Linked DNA regions of Danio rerio. The protein of the gene in region 2 interacts with the protein of the main gene of each other region in a pairwise test. Links are inferred from orthologs where the notes say so. Each region holds a gene or a part of one and is shown on either strand. Other genes may lie near its edges.

Evidence for each region. The genes of interacting proteins can lie anywhere in the genome.
Region 1: the proteins of ppp1cc (region 2) and ppp1r16a interact in binary tests that used the Homo sapiens proteins (3 or more experiments, as listed by UniProt). The link is inferred for Danio rerio from reciprocal best matches to the Homo sapiens genes PPP1CC and PPP1R16A.

The regions. Positions count from the first base shown.
Region 1 is NC_133187.1:14,359,393-14,365,712, reverse strand, and holds the end of ppp1r16a (protein phosphatase 1 regulatory subunit 16A), read right to left. Parts: intron 4,490-6,320; coding exon 4,016-4,489; 3' UTR 2,376-4,015; downstream 1-2,375. UniProt on the Homo sapiens protein: Inhibits protein phosphatase 1 activity toward phosphorylase, myosin light chain and myosin substrates.
Region 2 is NC_133180.1:2,463,268-2,471,095, forward strand, and holds the start of ppp1cc (serine/threonine-protein phosphatase PP1-gamma catalytic subunit A), read left to right. Parts: upstream 1-2,520; 5' UTR 2,521-2,702; coding exon 2,703-2,757; intron 2,758-7,828. UniProt on the Homo sapiens protein: Protein phosphatase that associates with over 200 regulatory proteins to form highly specific holoenzymes which dephosphorylate hundreds of biological targets.

The sequences.
Region 1 (6,320 bases), on a different chromosome or scaffold from region 2:
GATACAACATTTCAAAGTTATTTAGCGATGTTCAAATTTCACAGTAATTTTATTTTACAATACAAATAATTGAGAAGATTTATTTTTCATTTGATACAGTTTTATTTGTGCATCTCCAAATTAATAGAAATGAATAAAGTCATTTTTTTTCCTTGTTTAGAATTCAGCTGAGCCTTTAACTGTAGCTTGTGAGGGATTTATAAAGAATAAATAGTCCTTACTTTAGATTGTGTCATAAAACTGGACGAAGTGAACTTAATAAAGCATTTATTACAAACCAGCTAACTATTAGTATATGCCTGAACAATAAGATATATGAATGTTAATTTGGCGACGCAGTGGCGCAGTAAGTAGTGCTGTAGCTTCACAGCAAGAAAGTTGCTGGTTCGAGCCTAGGCTGGGTCAGTTGGCGTTTCTGTGTGGAGTTTGCATGTTTTCCCTGCATTCGCGTGGGTTTCCTCTGGGTGCTCTGGTTTCCCCCACAGTCCAAAGACATGGAGTACAGGTGAATTGGGTAGGCTGGGTGAGCTGTCCATAGTGTATGAGTGTAAATGAGTGTGTGTGGATGTTTTCCAGAGATGGGTTGTAGCTGGAAAACGAGCTGGATAAGTTAGCGGTTCATTCCACTGTGGTGACCCCAGATTAATAATACTATGCCGAAAATAAAATAAATGAATGTTAATTTGAATAGTTTAATAATTTACTTATGCATTCTGAACGATCTTAAAATAGCACTAACTATTCTTAATTAACTAATTTGTAAATAATGCTGTACTTAAGTAATGAAAAAATTATCTTTAACGATGCATGAAAATACAATCATTAAAAAGTGTGCTTATAAGTGAAGAAAACAGCATTGTTAGCTGTATTTACCAACTGCTTACTAACGTCTATTAATGTAGAGTTAATGCTTAACAAATAATGAATTAACTATTTGCTAATGCTCAATAAATGATTTATGGCATGTAGATATTATAAAGTGTTACCAGTTCATTAAATAAGTAAAAAAAAAAAATTAAATTAATAAAACCATTTTACAGACAATAGTTAAAAAACACAAAAACAGATCCAGCAGGTAAATTTATACCTGTAAGTCAATTATTATTAAAAGTGAATTGCTGCTATTATTATCATTAGCTATTATTCAAATACATTTAAAACTCCAAGGTAAAACTGCACAAAAGATATGGTAAGGAAAGACATGTTCTTGACATTTCAGGACTGAAGCACCAAAGCAAAATAACAAGAGGACTTAATCTTATCACAACAGGTAAAGAAGACCTTGCACGTTATTCTGGAAAAATCACATTTTCACTATTATTGAAAAATCACTATTATTTACACAAAACTATTAAATATTACTTTTATCTGCTTGTAAACAAAGCAGCACAATTTTACATCAAATGCAGCCTTAAGCCTTAAAGTGCAAAGAAATCTGACTAAAATCTGACTAAAAATAGACTTAAATCAATTAAAAGCCAATTAAACCATACTTCTTGCTTTCATTCCTTTTTTACAGCACTATATTGTCAATTATTTAGCAGGATAAAAAAATAGAAACAGAAGTACACTAACTTTCTGCGATTCAGGCGTGATAATTTACCCTACAGGGGTACAGTGTCTCACAAATGTCTTGTTGTTTATCCCAGTTGTAAGAGCAACAAAAATAACTTGAATTCTAGTTGATCATTTTGGTATCAGAAGTGGCTTATATGAGAGGCAAAGGCCTCTAGATTACGGTTATTTTACCAAAATAAAATATGATCATGCCTTGATTTTAAATTTAATTAGGACAGTAAGGTCTGACTCTGCTAAGACAAAAGTTTTGACACTTAACAGAAATAATGTACAGTATAGAATATAAAGTGATGGTGCAGTGCGCAATTAATATTGTGTATGACTCCCATGAGCATGGAGGACTGCATTCATACATCTCTGCAATGACTCAAATAACTTATTAATAGTCATCTGGAATGGCAAAAAATCGTTCTTGCAGGACTCCTAGAGTTCATCAAGATTTTTTTGGATTCATCTTCAGTGCCTCCTCCTTCATCTTACCCCATACATGCTCAATACTGTTAATGTCTGGTGACTGGGCTGGCCAATCCTGCAGCAGCTTGACCTTCTTTGGTTTCAGGAACATTGATGTAGAAGCTGAAGTATGAAAAGAAGCGCAATCCTGCTGAAGATCTGGTCTCACCTGTGGTTTGTAATGTAATGTAAAAATCAAACCATGATTTTTCCTTCACCAAACTTGACTGATTTCTATTCGAATCTTGGGTCCATGCGGAATCCAATAGGTCTTTTACAGTATTTGTGATGATTGGGATGCAGTTCAACTGATGATACATCAGATGAATCAAATGATCAACTAGAAGTCAAGTTATTATTTGTTGTTCCTACAACTGGGATCGACGACAAGACTTTTGTATACATCTTTAAAATTAAAAAAAAATTAACTGAAATTAACCACATTTCCTGAATATAGATACAAAATTGTTGTTTTTTTATTTAAGTCTACTTAGTTTCTCACTATAAAAAACTTTTTAAAAATTCAAAAATGTATGGTCTGCATATTTTTTCCTTATTCAATAAGAAATCATTTGAAATCAGAAGAATATACTTGTATAAAATAGCCTTTTAAATTGTGATGCTTCAGCACAGTTTAAGGTGTAAAATACAATCCCATTTTATTTCTTAGATTACAATAAGCACTCCAATGTACAGTAAAGTGTCTTTTACGACATACATTTAGTTACATTGAGACAACATTTTATGCATGTTTTAAATAAATTAAAATATTATCCACGACATAATCTGGGATATAAACATTTAAGGAAAGGTAAGCAATATAAAATAAACAATGATTTGCACTCACTAAAATAACAATCTTTCAGCATTTTATTTTATGGTAAACACCAAAAAGACAAAGCCAGATGAAAGAGATATGAAATGATTCAACCAGGTGTTGAAGAAGACTAAGAATGTGTTCACACTTGTAGTTTGGTTCTCTTAGTTGATTTGTTCCAAAAAAGAAAATTATGCATTTAATCCAGCTCACTATGCATTGACATTGTTCTTTTAGATACGATTGAACCTATTAATATCAAACCTTTAAGCTTAATTTCAAAGACTTTCTTATTTGTCCACCAAGCACGCTTGTGTTTAATAGATGGTTGCCAGGATATGCCATTCCCCCTTTTTGTAAGATAAACAGTTTTTTCTGCATTAAATCAAGTGATTGTGACTTCACAACCTGTTTCTGATTCATTTTCAGATCTTAAGTTGATGCTAAGTGGACATTTCAGTCAAACCGAACTAGTTTGTTTGGAAGCTAACCAGGACTCTCCTAGTGGCCCAAGTCTGTCTGTTTGGTGAAACTCTCGATTTTGTATTAAGCTTGTTTTAATCAAACCAAATGTGCCAGGTGTGCCCACACCCCAAGAGCAAGTGTGCTATGGTACTTTCTAGACGCAGCCTTTAAAATACATGAAATGTGGTTTTATAGTGATCAGTGCAACTCAAATGTGCTTTTTTTGTCACATTAATCTATATACTGTATATGTGTGTATGTGTGTTAAAGTTAAGAAAATTGCAGAAAGTTTGGTCAAAAGTGCTCAGTGTCTTTTTTTTCTCAATGTATTGAACATTGCCAATACTATGAAACTTTAAATGACCACAACAACTAAATAAAAGAAACAATACAAGCATAATAGTGTGAAATACTGCAAAAACATTGCAATTACTCCATGAAAGTTTTGCAAATGCGGGAACTTCTAACTTCTTCACATTTGCGATATTCAGTCAGAAATCTGTCTGGTCCATCATACATTTCTTAGTGTTATGAAATATACATGTAATAATATATTAGTGTTGAAAAAACATTCATGTGCAATAGTCAGACAAAGTGTAAGATATAAAACTGAATTCCACGTACCTGCCAGACACTTTCCATTCTGTTAATGTAGAAAGAACAGCAAAATCATAAGAAACCAAATCTGTTCATTTGCTGCTTCTACATGAGTCCACAGCATGGCTCTTTTGTATTGGTTGTTTCCTCTTCTGGTGCTTTGAGCTTCAGCAGAGGTGGATCTCCACTAGCCTGGGTAAAGTACACAGCATTAGGAGCTACAACCTGTTGTACTGATTCGGAGGGCTCCAGCGTCCCTGGAGGCCCCTCAGGGACAGGCTCATCCTGTGTGCCTGCAGACAAGGGTAAAGGTGGTGCTGGATGCTTATTCAGTTTAGCTGCAGCTCTCTGTCGTTTGAGATCTGCGAGTGTGTGGTGAGATCTCTCTCTGCTCATGCTGTCCCCGCCAGCAGAAGCTGAACCTGGAGAGAGCTGATAGGAGGCGCTGCGATCCATGAGCCCCCCGCTCTGGAGTTCTCCTGAAAATGAACCTGTGCTACCGTTCCCTATAACTTGGGCTCCATTTTCCACCTCGCCAACGTCTAATGGAGGAACAGCGATGGCATTAGAGCTGGACATCTAAATCAAAAGAGGGAAAAAATACAAGAAAATCCATCAAGAATAGTCAAGGCACAAATACATGACTAAGCTCTCAATAAACACAAGATCAGTTCACATAATCATCCCATTATTTGGGCGTAGATTTAGGGTGGATGGAGGTGATGTGTCCCCACCAATATCCACTGAGACATAGAAATGTCCCAACAAATAATTTAATCCACTTTAAAAAAAAATTGCGATGTCAACATTGACCTAGACACGCAGGTTAAATCACGTTTTTTCCTTAAGTCCTACCGCCCCCAAAACAAACATGGACATTTTGATTGGCTGTGCCTTTCCATGCTATTATGTGAGAGGCTGTGGCTGTGTTCAGATACAAGCAGCGACAAATGAAGTGGATTGTTTTGTTTTTTCCTGTGCCAGAATAAGGTGTGTTGGGTGACACACGAGTGAGGATGATGGCAAAAAAAAAAAAAAAAAAAAAGGTGAACATAAGGAGCATTTTTCAACGAAATTGTAAGTCACATAAACGCAAGTTCGCTACTGAATGAGCCCATCATGATAACGCCGTTAATGCTCGTGTTTTCCCTGGCTTTAATGCAGTCTGTTGTTGTAGCAGGCTGATATAGGCTAGTCTGCGATATTTAATTAAAAAAAAAAAAAAAAATATATATATATATATATATATATATATATATATATATATATATATATATATATATATATATACACACACACACACACACACAGAACAGTTCTGTCTGGTTCTCAAATCTGATTGGCTGATAGCCGTGCAATATTCTGCAATATCAGAACTCCTACAGCCTCTTTACCCTTTGTGTATTACTCCTCCCACATACAGCCAGCAAAAAGCAGACACTACAGATCTAAAGTTTAAATGATGCTTGCTCAACTGTTTAGCTGTCAGCTTATGATTTGAATCCGGAAGAAAGTAGTTCCTCATACAAAAGGGTTTTTGAGACTCTCCATGTTTGATTTTGTTTTTATATACACAATTATGTCGTCAAACTGTTGTATAAACACAATATCACACTCGTAGCAGCGAGATATGGCTGTATATCGGCACTGGTGGGGGCACTAAGGGGCACTAAAAAAAACTTTTTTGCAGTTATTTGTCTGACTTTCCATTTAATTATGCATAATATTGCATTTTAGTAACATTTTAAAAAACTAATGCTTGCTGGGTTATCGTGTTGGATGGTTATAATAACCACACTTTTTGATGTACCAAAAAATACTTTCAACCATTCTGTCAAATTGCCAAACTACCGTTTTAAGTGTTTATTTACAAGTGTGCATTTAAACTGTAAGTTTTATATTATAGTTATATAAATAATGAACATTTTGAATAAAAAATATGAAAAGATACTTATTTATTACTTTCCTCAGTCAGAATTTGCCTATTTTGATAATGATGGGAAAAATTTTAAAATAATAATAATAGTCTAACTTTTGGTCTTTCGAACCACCCAAACCCCCTTGGCTACAGGCCTAAAACTTACAAAAAAAACTGATTAACGAGTGGATTAGTAGTATATTTTAATAGCAGTTAAATAAATAATAGCGCATATATATATATATATATATATATATATATATATATATATATATATATATATATATATATATATATATATATATATATATATTTTTTTTTTTTTTTTTTTTTTTTAAAGTCTTCCATATCTAAGTCTATGTCCTTTAAAATCATAGAAATACTCACTTTAGAATGCGTTTTTGTTTATTTTTGTTCTGTGGTGTCATCGTATTCCTAAATTTCATTCATAAAGTGGCCTGGTTGGTCTTAAACCCTGGTCAGACCATATGA
Region 2 (7,828 bases):
TATAATTATTAGGCTATTATTATTATTATTAGGCTATTATTATTATTATTATTATTATTATTATTATTATTATTAGGCTATTATTATTATTATTATTATTAGGCTATTATTATTATTATTATTATTATTATTATTATTATTATTATTATTATTATTATTATTATTATTATTATTATTCATTTAGGTTCTGTTGTGTTTGTATTAGGCTATGTGTTGGGTTTCTAACCACAATCTGTTCAGATGCTATGAAAAGTAAGTGCACATTACAGGAAACAAACACCAGAGGACGCTACAGTTCTGTTTCATTGAGGCAGGAATGAAAAATATCTCCTTTTCGTTGAGAAAAGCACATGCTGTTTATCATATAATTAACATATGGTAATAGCTTTTTAAAATGTGAGTTTTGCAAAAATGAATTTATACACAATGTTGTTTTGTCAGAGATGTGTCAGTGTTTTTAATGTGGTTTATTCAGAGGTACATTATGCAATTAATCTGAGGTGATCAGGATGCTGGAACAAGAACTAATTTCCCCCTAAAAGATGAGATGGTGAACATCTGATGCGGAACAGAGTTTGCTGTTGTGTTAGAGATAAGATATATTGATGACATATTATACATATTATTGACATAATGCTTTCAGCGTATTACAACAGCTCGTCACCCAGTGATAAGCACAGTTGTTCAGCAAAATTAAGGTTAAAGTGAGCAGCGTTCATCTGTGATAGCACCCTCCTAATGGATATTGGATAAGACGAGATGGCCAAGCATCCAGCCCAAAATATACAACTATCTCACTAAAACTCCAAGTGTTTTACAAGAGAGAAGTTAAAGACATACAAATCTTTGGATGCCAACAGTTTTGCTCTGAGCAAGAAATAATACTCCATGATAACCAGATTCAACACTGTAGAGCTGAAAACTGAGGTTCTGCCCAGCCAAAGACAAGGAAAGAAGACGGAGCTGTACAAGGCCTGGATAATCATCAACAAGCAGAACTACTGCATTCTCACAGCAAACTACACCTGTACAGCAGGTTATGTGAACACACATTTCATTCTAGGCATTCAGTGTCCGCAGTTTAATTAACCATATTGAACTGTTTTTGCTGCAATCAAAAACCAGTAACGTGTCTGATTCAGCATAGCGTGAACTCACCTGATATAACATGAGAACTGCAGAGTCCAGCATTTCTAATTAGGTCCTCACTCCATTCAGCTCCCTTATAGCTAAATATGTCTGCAGTTGGCATTAAAGCAGTGTGGTGTACGGTAAATGTTAAGCTGCATTTGAAAAGTTGGATTTGGCACCCTACCGCACAACTATTACTATTGACACCAGGAACCCCTGTGACGTAGGTTGATAATTTCTCTAAATATAGGCTTAAGTTTTTTAATTTAAAACAACTTTGAACAGATTCCTTATTTTATGATGGATAATAATAAATTAGCATTTGAAAAAATAAGTATTTTTTCGAATTTCTTAGTTCAAAATGTTTAATTTAAATTCTAATCTCATTACATTATTTGTAAAAAGTAATAGTGTAAATTTTAAATGCACAGTTGTAAATAAACACAATTTTTTGTTAATAGTATGGTAAGCACTTTGACAAAAATATAGGAAAATATTTGTTGCGTCAAAAAGTATTGTAATGATAACCATCCGACAAGCTAATCCAAAAATTTGTGCTTAAAATGTCAATGTATTTGATAAAAATGAGCCGAATAGCTGCAAAAAGTTCCACTTTTTGAGAACCCTTTTAATAGGCTGGCTACGGGCCTGCATTGCAATGCTGTAGTATTTTTAATACCTAAATTAGCATGAATTAAATGCATACTGAGTAAATACCTTACCACAAATGACAAAATATGTAATGGTATTGACAGTTGACAAAGGATGAGGTTAGTTAACATGAAAAGTAATGTCAAATACTATAAAACTAGTTTTTTTTTAATGCCAAAATCAGCATTAATTAATTTCTAATGCAAAAATACTACAAATTAAATAATATTTTTTTTACTATAATGAATGACAATTGACAAAAAAATGTGGTTAGTTAATATAAAAGGTCATGTCAAATACTGTAAAACTAGATTTTATGCCAAAATTAATAATTTTTTATTAGGTTATTATAATAAATAACAGTTGACAAGGCATCTGGTTAATTAACATAAACAGAACTGTCAAATAATGTAATACTAGTACATGTGTATACCCGAATCAGCATAAATTAAATGCATAATGCAATTTTTTCAAATGAAATAATATTTGTATTAGGTCTACTGTAATAACAGCATGCCAAAAGACGTTGTTGGTTAAAATAAATAATTATGTTAATGTGTAGGATATGTTTTAAACATGTGTTTTTAAAAGTTTTTCATTGCAATTAACATTCAACGTCACACGTTATTGTGAAAGTCAGCGGCACGCCCTCCTCTTTCCTCCGCACTACTTTTCTTCCTTTCCTTTGTGTTCATCCGCCCTCCCGTTTCCATCAGCGGTGAAACCGAGCCGAATTGCGTGTCCTTCCGCAGAGCCGGTGCGCCACCGCCGCAGCACGCGCGTCTAACGGGCCCGCTCGAGCATTTTAATCTTTTCTTTTAGAGTTTTGTGATTAACCAGTTTGTTTTTAATCGAAGTCGTTTTATCTGTCGTGTCTGGTGTGTTTTAAGCGGTGGTGTTTGTGTTTTTATCGGCTAGTCATGGCTGACATCGACAAACTCAACATAGACAGCATCATTCAGCGCCTGCTCGAGGGTGAGTTTCAAGCCAAGTGACAGCTAAAATGTACTTTTAATAACATAAGTAACTATATAATTGCCATAAGGGTTGTGTGTGTATATGTATATGCTTGATCTATCAACTCTGTCGTTTTTATGGATGTTACGTTAGCTGAGCTAGCGAGAGTTAGCTGCGCATTAGCTCTGCTCACTGACACAAACGGCTGTGTGTCAAATACAGAGTTTTCTACATAGACACTATACTGATATATTTGAAGATTATATATTATTGGTTGGTTTCGAATGGACAGTACTTTTGACTATAAAATACACTCTGTGTGGGCAGTTCACTGGTGTTTGTGACACTGCCAAGCTGTACGCGCGGTTTCGGTGCTTCAGTAAACACATTACGTTAGTACACTGACTAATGCTGATATTATGATATTGAATACATATTTGAGCATCAAAACAGCTGTTTATTAGTGTACCACAGTCATTAAAATTAACAACAGGGCTTGAAATGTCAAAAGTGTGATTTCTAGCGCTAGGAAAAACAATATTTTTGAGTTCAACCCAAATTTATACAATTTGAGGGTGTCATCTCTATAAAATGTTTATTAAAAATCCTTGCTTTAATTAGACATCTTAAAACCTTATTTAATGACTAACAATATGAAACTGTTGAAAATGAGAACTTTAAAACATGATAAACTCTTAATTCTGATTGAATATGAACACTGTATTTGCTTATATTATGACTTTAAACATGTATTATTATTACATGTAAATATATTTTTTAGGGGGGGAAGGACATCACATCCTGTACAACTGCAGGTTATACAGTGTTCATACAGTCATGGAAAACCTGGAAAAGTCATGGAATTTTTACATGGCATTTTCCAGGCCTGGAAAAGTTTTGGAAAAACAGAAAAACCTACACAGTTTTAGAAAAGTCATGACAAATACTTGAATATAGGCTTTTCTCTTATTTTCTGTCCTTGGCCAATCACATACTCTCATATTATTAGTGCGGTGTAAGCATTATCTAAATTAATTTTGCATGGATATAAATTGAAAGTAAATGGATTGTTGCATGTTTTATGCTATGCTCTAATAAATTTGAACATGCATTGCTTTTCTTTTACCACGCATATGTAGACATTGCATGAAACATTAGGTCATGAACATTTACATGAAAGTCTTGGCAAAATCATGAAATTTTAGTAGTAAAAATGTGTATGAGCCCAACTATGTTTACAACATTTTAGCTTTTTTTTGAATTGACTGTAATGAAATGTGCACCTTTTGTAAAGCTGCTTTGAAATGAATTATTGTGAAAAGCACTATACAAATAGATTTATATTTTATTATACAATGAATTGTATCTTTGCAAAATATAATTGCTTTCTGGAATGCATTATAAAAGCAGCAGGTGCAATAAAGGCAGAATGATTATGCAAGATTTTATAGTTTTATTGTATACAGTGAAGAAATGCATTTACATAACATTTCTCGCTTGTTTAATTTTTATATGCAACACAGTTCATATTGGCAGATATTATTATTTAGACTAACATTAAATGTATTATTAAGGTATGTATCCTTCATAAGCGGGTCTGACTTCAGATTTAGCACTGCAGCAGCTTTGACCCATTTTTACTTGTACTTTCTGCAGTAGTGATTTCAGCATCATACACATACTGATATGCATGTGCTTTTACTTTGTCCTCTTACACTGTAAAAAATATATTAGTGAACAGTTTCTCTATTTTGTGTGTTTTGGGTTTATTTGCGGTGGCAAATTGCATTATGCTATGTTGATCTCTCCTCTGTTGTATTTTTAACATCAAAAGTGCACAAAGTGACTTATTCACATTTTAGTCATTTGAAATAATAATATCATGTATAAAAATAATATCTAAAGAAATAAGTCTGTTAAAGAATAGAAAATGTTTGTTACAATGTTTTTGTAGCGTAATATACAACACCAACCAGACAGTATATCACTTTAAGCTATTAAAAAAGTAAATAAGTCACTTTTTTTAACTTTACAAGGTTAAAAGTTGTTGGAGGAAAGTAATAATCCAATTCAAAAGCGTAAATAAATGGGGGAAAGTAAAAACATGAATCACAAAATACATAAAACTGCTTATTTAAAGATTTTTTATTGCTTAGGTTTATTTTTATGCAGTGTGAAATAATGGCTGCGCTAAAATTTTGACATTGTCATGGAGAGATGCTATAAATTATATTTGGGTAATAATAATGCATAATGTTTAATTATGATGCACCTTTCTAAGCTCAAAGCGCCACAACATTTACAAACATAAGGTTGCAACCAAAGCCTAAATTACAAACTTTCATAATCAAATCTCTGTATTAATTCACATCGCAATAATGAATAAAAAACAATTAAGCAAATTTATTTTTTAAAATGTCAGTGATATCACAAATGGGCAAATATGGCTCTAAATTTAAAATTATTTATTTTAAAATAAATATATTACCAGTATATTAGGAACACCCTACTCCTTGCATATTTTCTAAGATTCCTCTGTTAAATATTTTATTAGACTGTCCTGCTTTTAATGTTTGTAGAAGACTTTTAATGAAGTTTTAAATAATTATTCAGTAAAGATTTGACCGAAAAACGTTTTTGAATTTTTCTTATATATTAATGTAAAATGCCTGATGTATCTTGTTTGTTTGTATGTTTTTATTGCTTGTTTGAATAGTTTTTTCTTTTTGCTTTAAAATTAAAGGCTACAATCAACAGCCCAAATTATTACTTTTGTTTTTTATTAATCTTCCAAATCAGTACTCCGATTAAAAAAATGTCTGCAAACATGTAAAAGCCATATTTTTCCCTAAAATCTACATTTGTAACATTGTTTCTGCTTTGGTGAAATATAAGACACATGCACCTTACTAAAGACCAATAGCAAACATTTACAGCACAATTATGTGCTTTTAAGCATGGTGAGCAGAACATGCACACCTTTAATTATCCCCAGAAATGTTTACAGAAATAATAACCATGATTTATTGTTTATGCATCAACATCAAGGCCAGAACTAATGAATACATTGACTGCATAAAAAAAGAGTTTTTTTGCTATAAAATGTCAGGATGAAAAGCAAAGAAAAAGGAAAGCAATATATGGTAACACTTATACACACTAGTCATTCATTATTTCATTCATTTTCCTTTGGCTTACTCTCTTTATTTATCAGGGTTCGCCACAGCGGAATGAACCACCAACTTATCCACTATCCAGCATATGTTTTACGCAGTGGATGCCCTTGCTATTTAATTTATTCAATTCCCCTATAGCGCATGTGTTTGGACTAAAGGCATGGGCCGGTATAAGATTCTGACGGTATAATAACCTTGTATAAAAGTATCACAGTTTTGCGGTATTGGGATTACTGTACTAAAATATATATATTTTAAATGTCTGGGAAAAAACCTAAAACTTTTTTCCCTTTTGAACACAGTAGGTTTTACTTTGAGAAACATTTAAAATATTTAGGAGCAGAAAATGTGTCAGGCTAAATGAATTATTGACTTCTGCTGTCTTTATTTGTTTTAAAAACTTTTTTTTTTTACAATTTAAAACGGCATCTTCTGCTGAAGATACTGTTGTCTTAAAAACACACACGCACGCACGCACGCACGCACACACACACACACACACACACACACATACACACACACACACACACAAAAACGTTTATAAAAATCATAAACATACCTTAGGGATGGTATTGCAGAAAATTTTCACCATTTTAAAACCTTGGCTTTTCCAAACCGTGGTGTACCTTGGTGTTGACTGTCTCAATTCAGGCTAAACTGCTGGCTTATAACCTGCCTATTATTAAGATATTGACTGTTGATTATTAGTTATAAATTACGTTTTTATTCTATATCCCTAATCCTACCCAACCCCCCAAAAAAACTCTTTTACCTTATAACTATTAATAAACAGAAATTAGTAGTTTATTAAACTAATAATGCCAGTTATCGGTTTGTTAATGTCATGAGTTGTGACCTAAACCTTTGTGTCAGCTGGAAGATTTTTTTTAAATGACCAGATTCAGTCTTGCTTAATTTCCCTTTTTGCATACTTTTATGACTAATTATGCCATTATTTGATATCAGCTCTTTAAGCCTAATATCTATTTTTATGTGAGCTCCTCCTCTCGTGATGCTTTATAATGTTAACAGTGTTTCGTAGAAACCTCACCCTGTTTTTCCGCCTTCTCAGAGTTTAGATGGAGCCAGTTGCACCACCTGCATGTTTATTGCTATACAGCCTAGAAACTAGGCAGGGCGTGAGGAGTGTACTTATATCTGCTTGACTAGTATTAATACGGCTGTCCCCTTGGCAGTCTGCTCTCGTTATATAACCGTGGACAGTGTTATGCTGCTCGACACGGTGCCAAGTCCTTCTACAAATTTGTTTTATTTTTTAATTATTATTTTTAATTATTATTTTTATTTATTTATGAATTGAACTTATGAACTTATTGAAATATGAACTTATTAGGATGAAAAGTATAAAATATATCAGCATCTCACATGGCTTTACAGCTGTAAAATTAAACCATACAGAAATCGTTTCATACCTGCAGCAATTAAACAGTTAAAAAAAGGTGTTTCTGTGTCTTGTAGTCTTGTAAGTCATTTGCACTATGTTAGAATAGTGTTGTGGTGTTTTCGTTGTATTTATCTTACAGAAGAAATGGTTTATTTGTTTTATTCATGTTATGCTTTGTTTTTTGGAGAGGACTGGACACTTGAAGCCTTGTTTTGTGCATCTAATGTTTTATATCTCTTGCGTTTATGTAGGCCTGGTGCATTATTGTAATTGATAGCATAATGATAAACCAAATACATATTGCACAAAATTATAATGAATTGCTAATGACGTAGAAAGTACTATTCAGCAGTGTTTATTATGTAATAATTTGTCAAATTAATACATATTTGAAGCATCGTCATTAGTGGAGCTGAAATCACATCATTGTTTGAGGATTCACACTTGAAGTTGTATTAATTGGAAAAGTGAACACAGGCACACTCTTGTAATTACAAGCTTGACACAA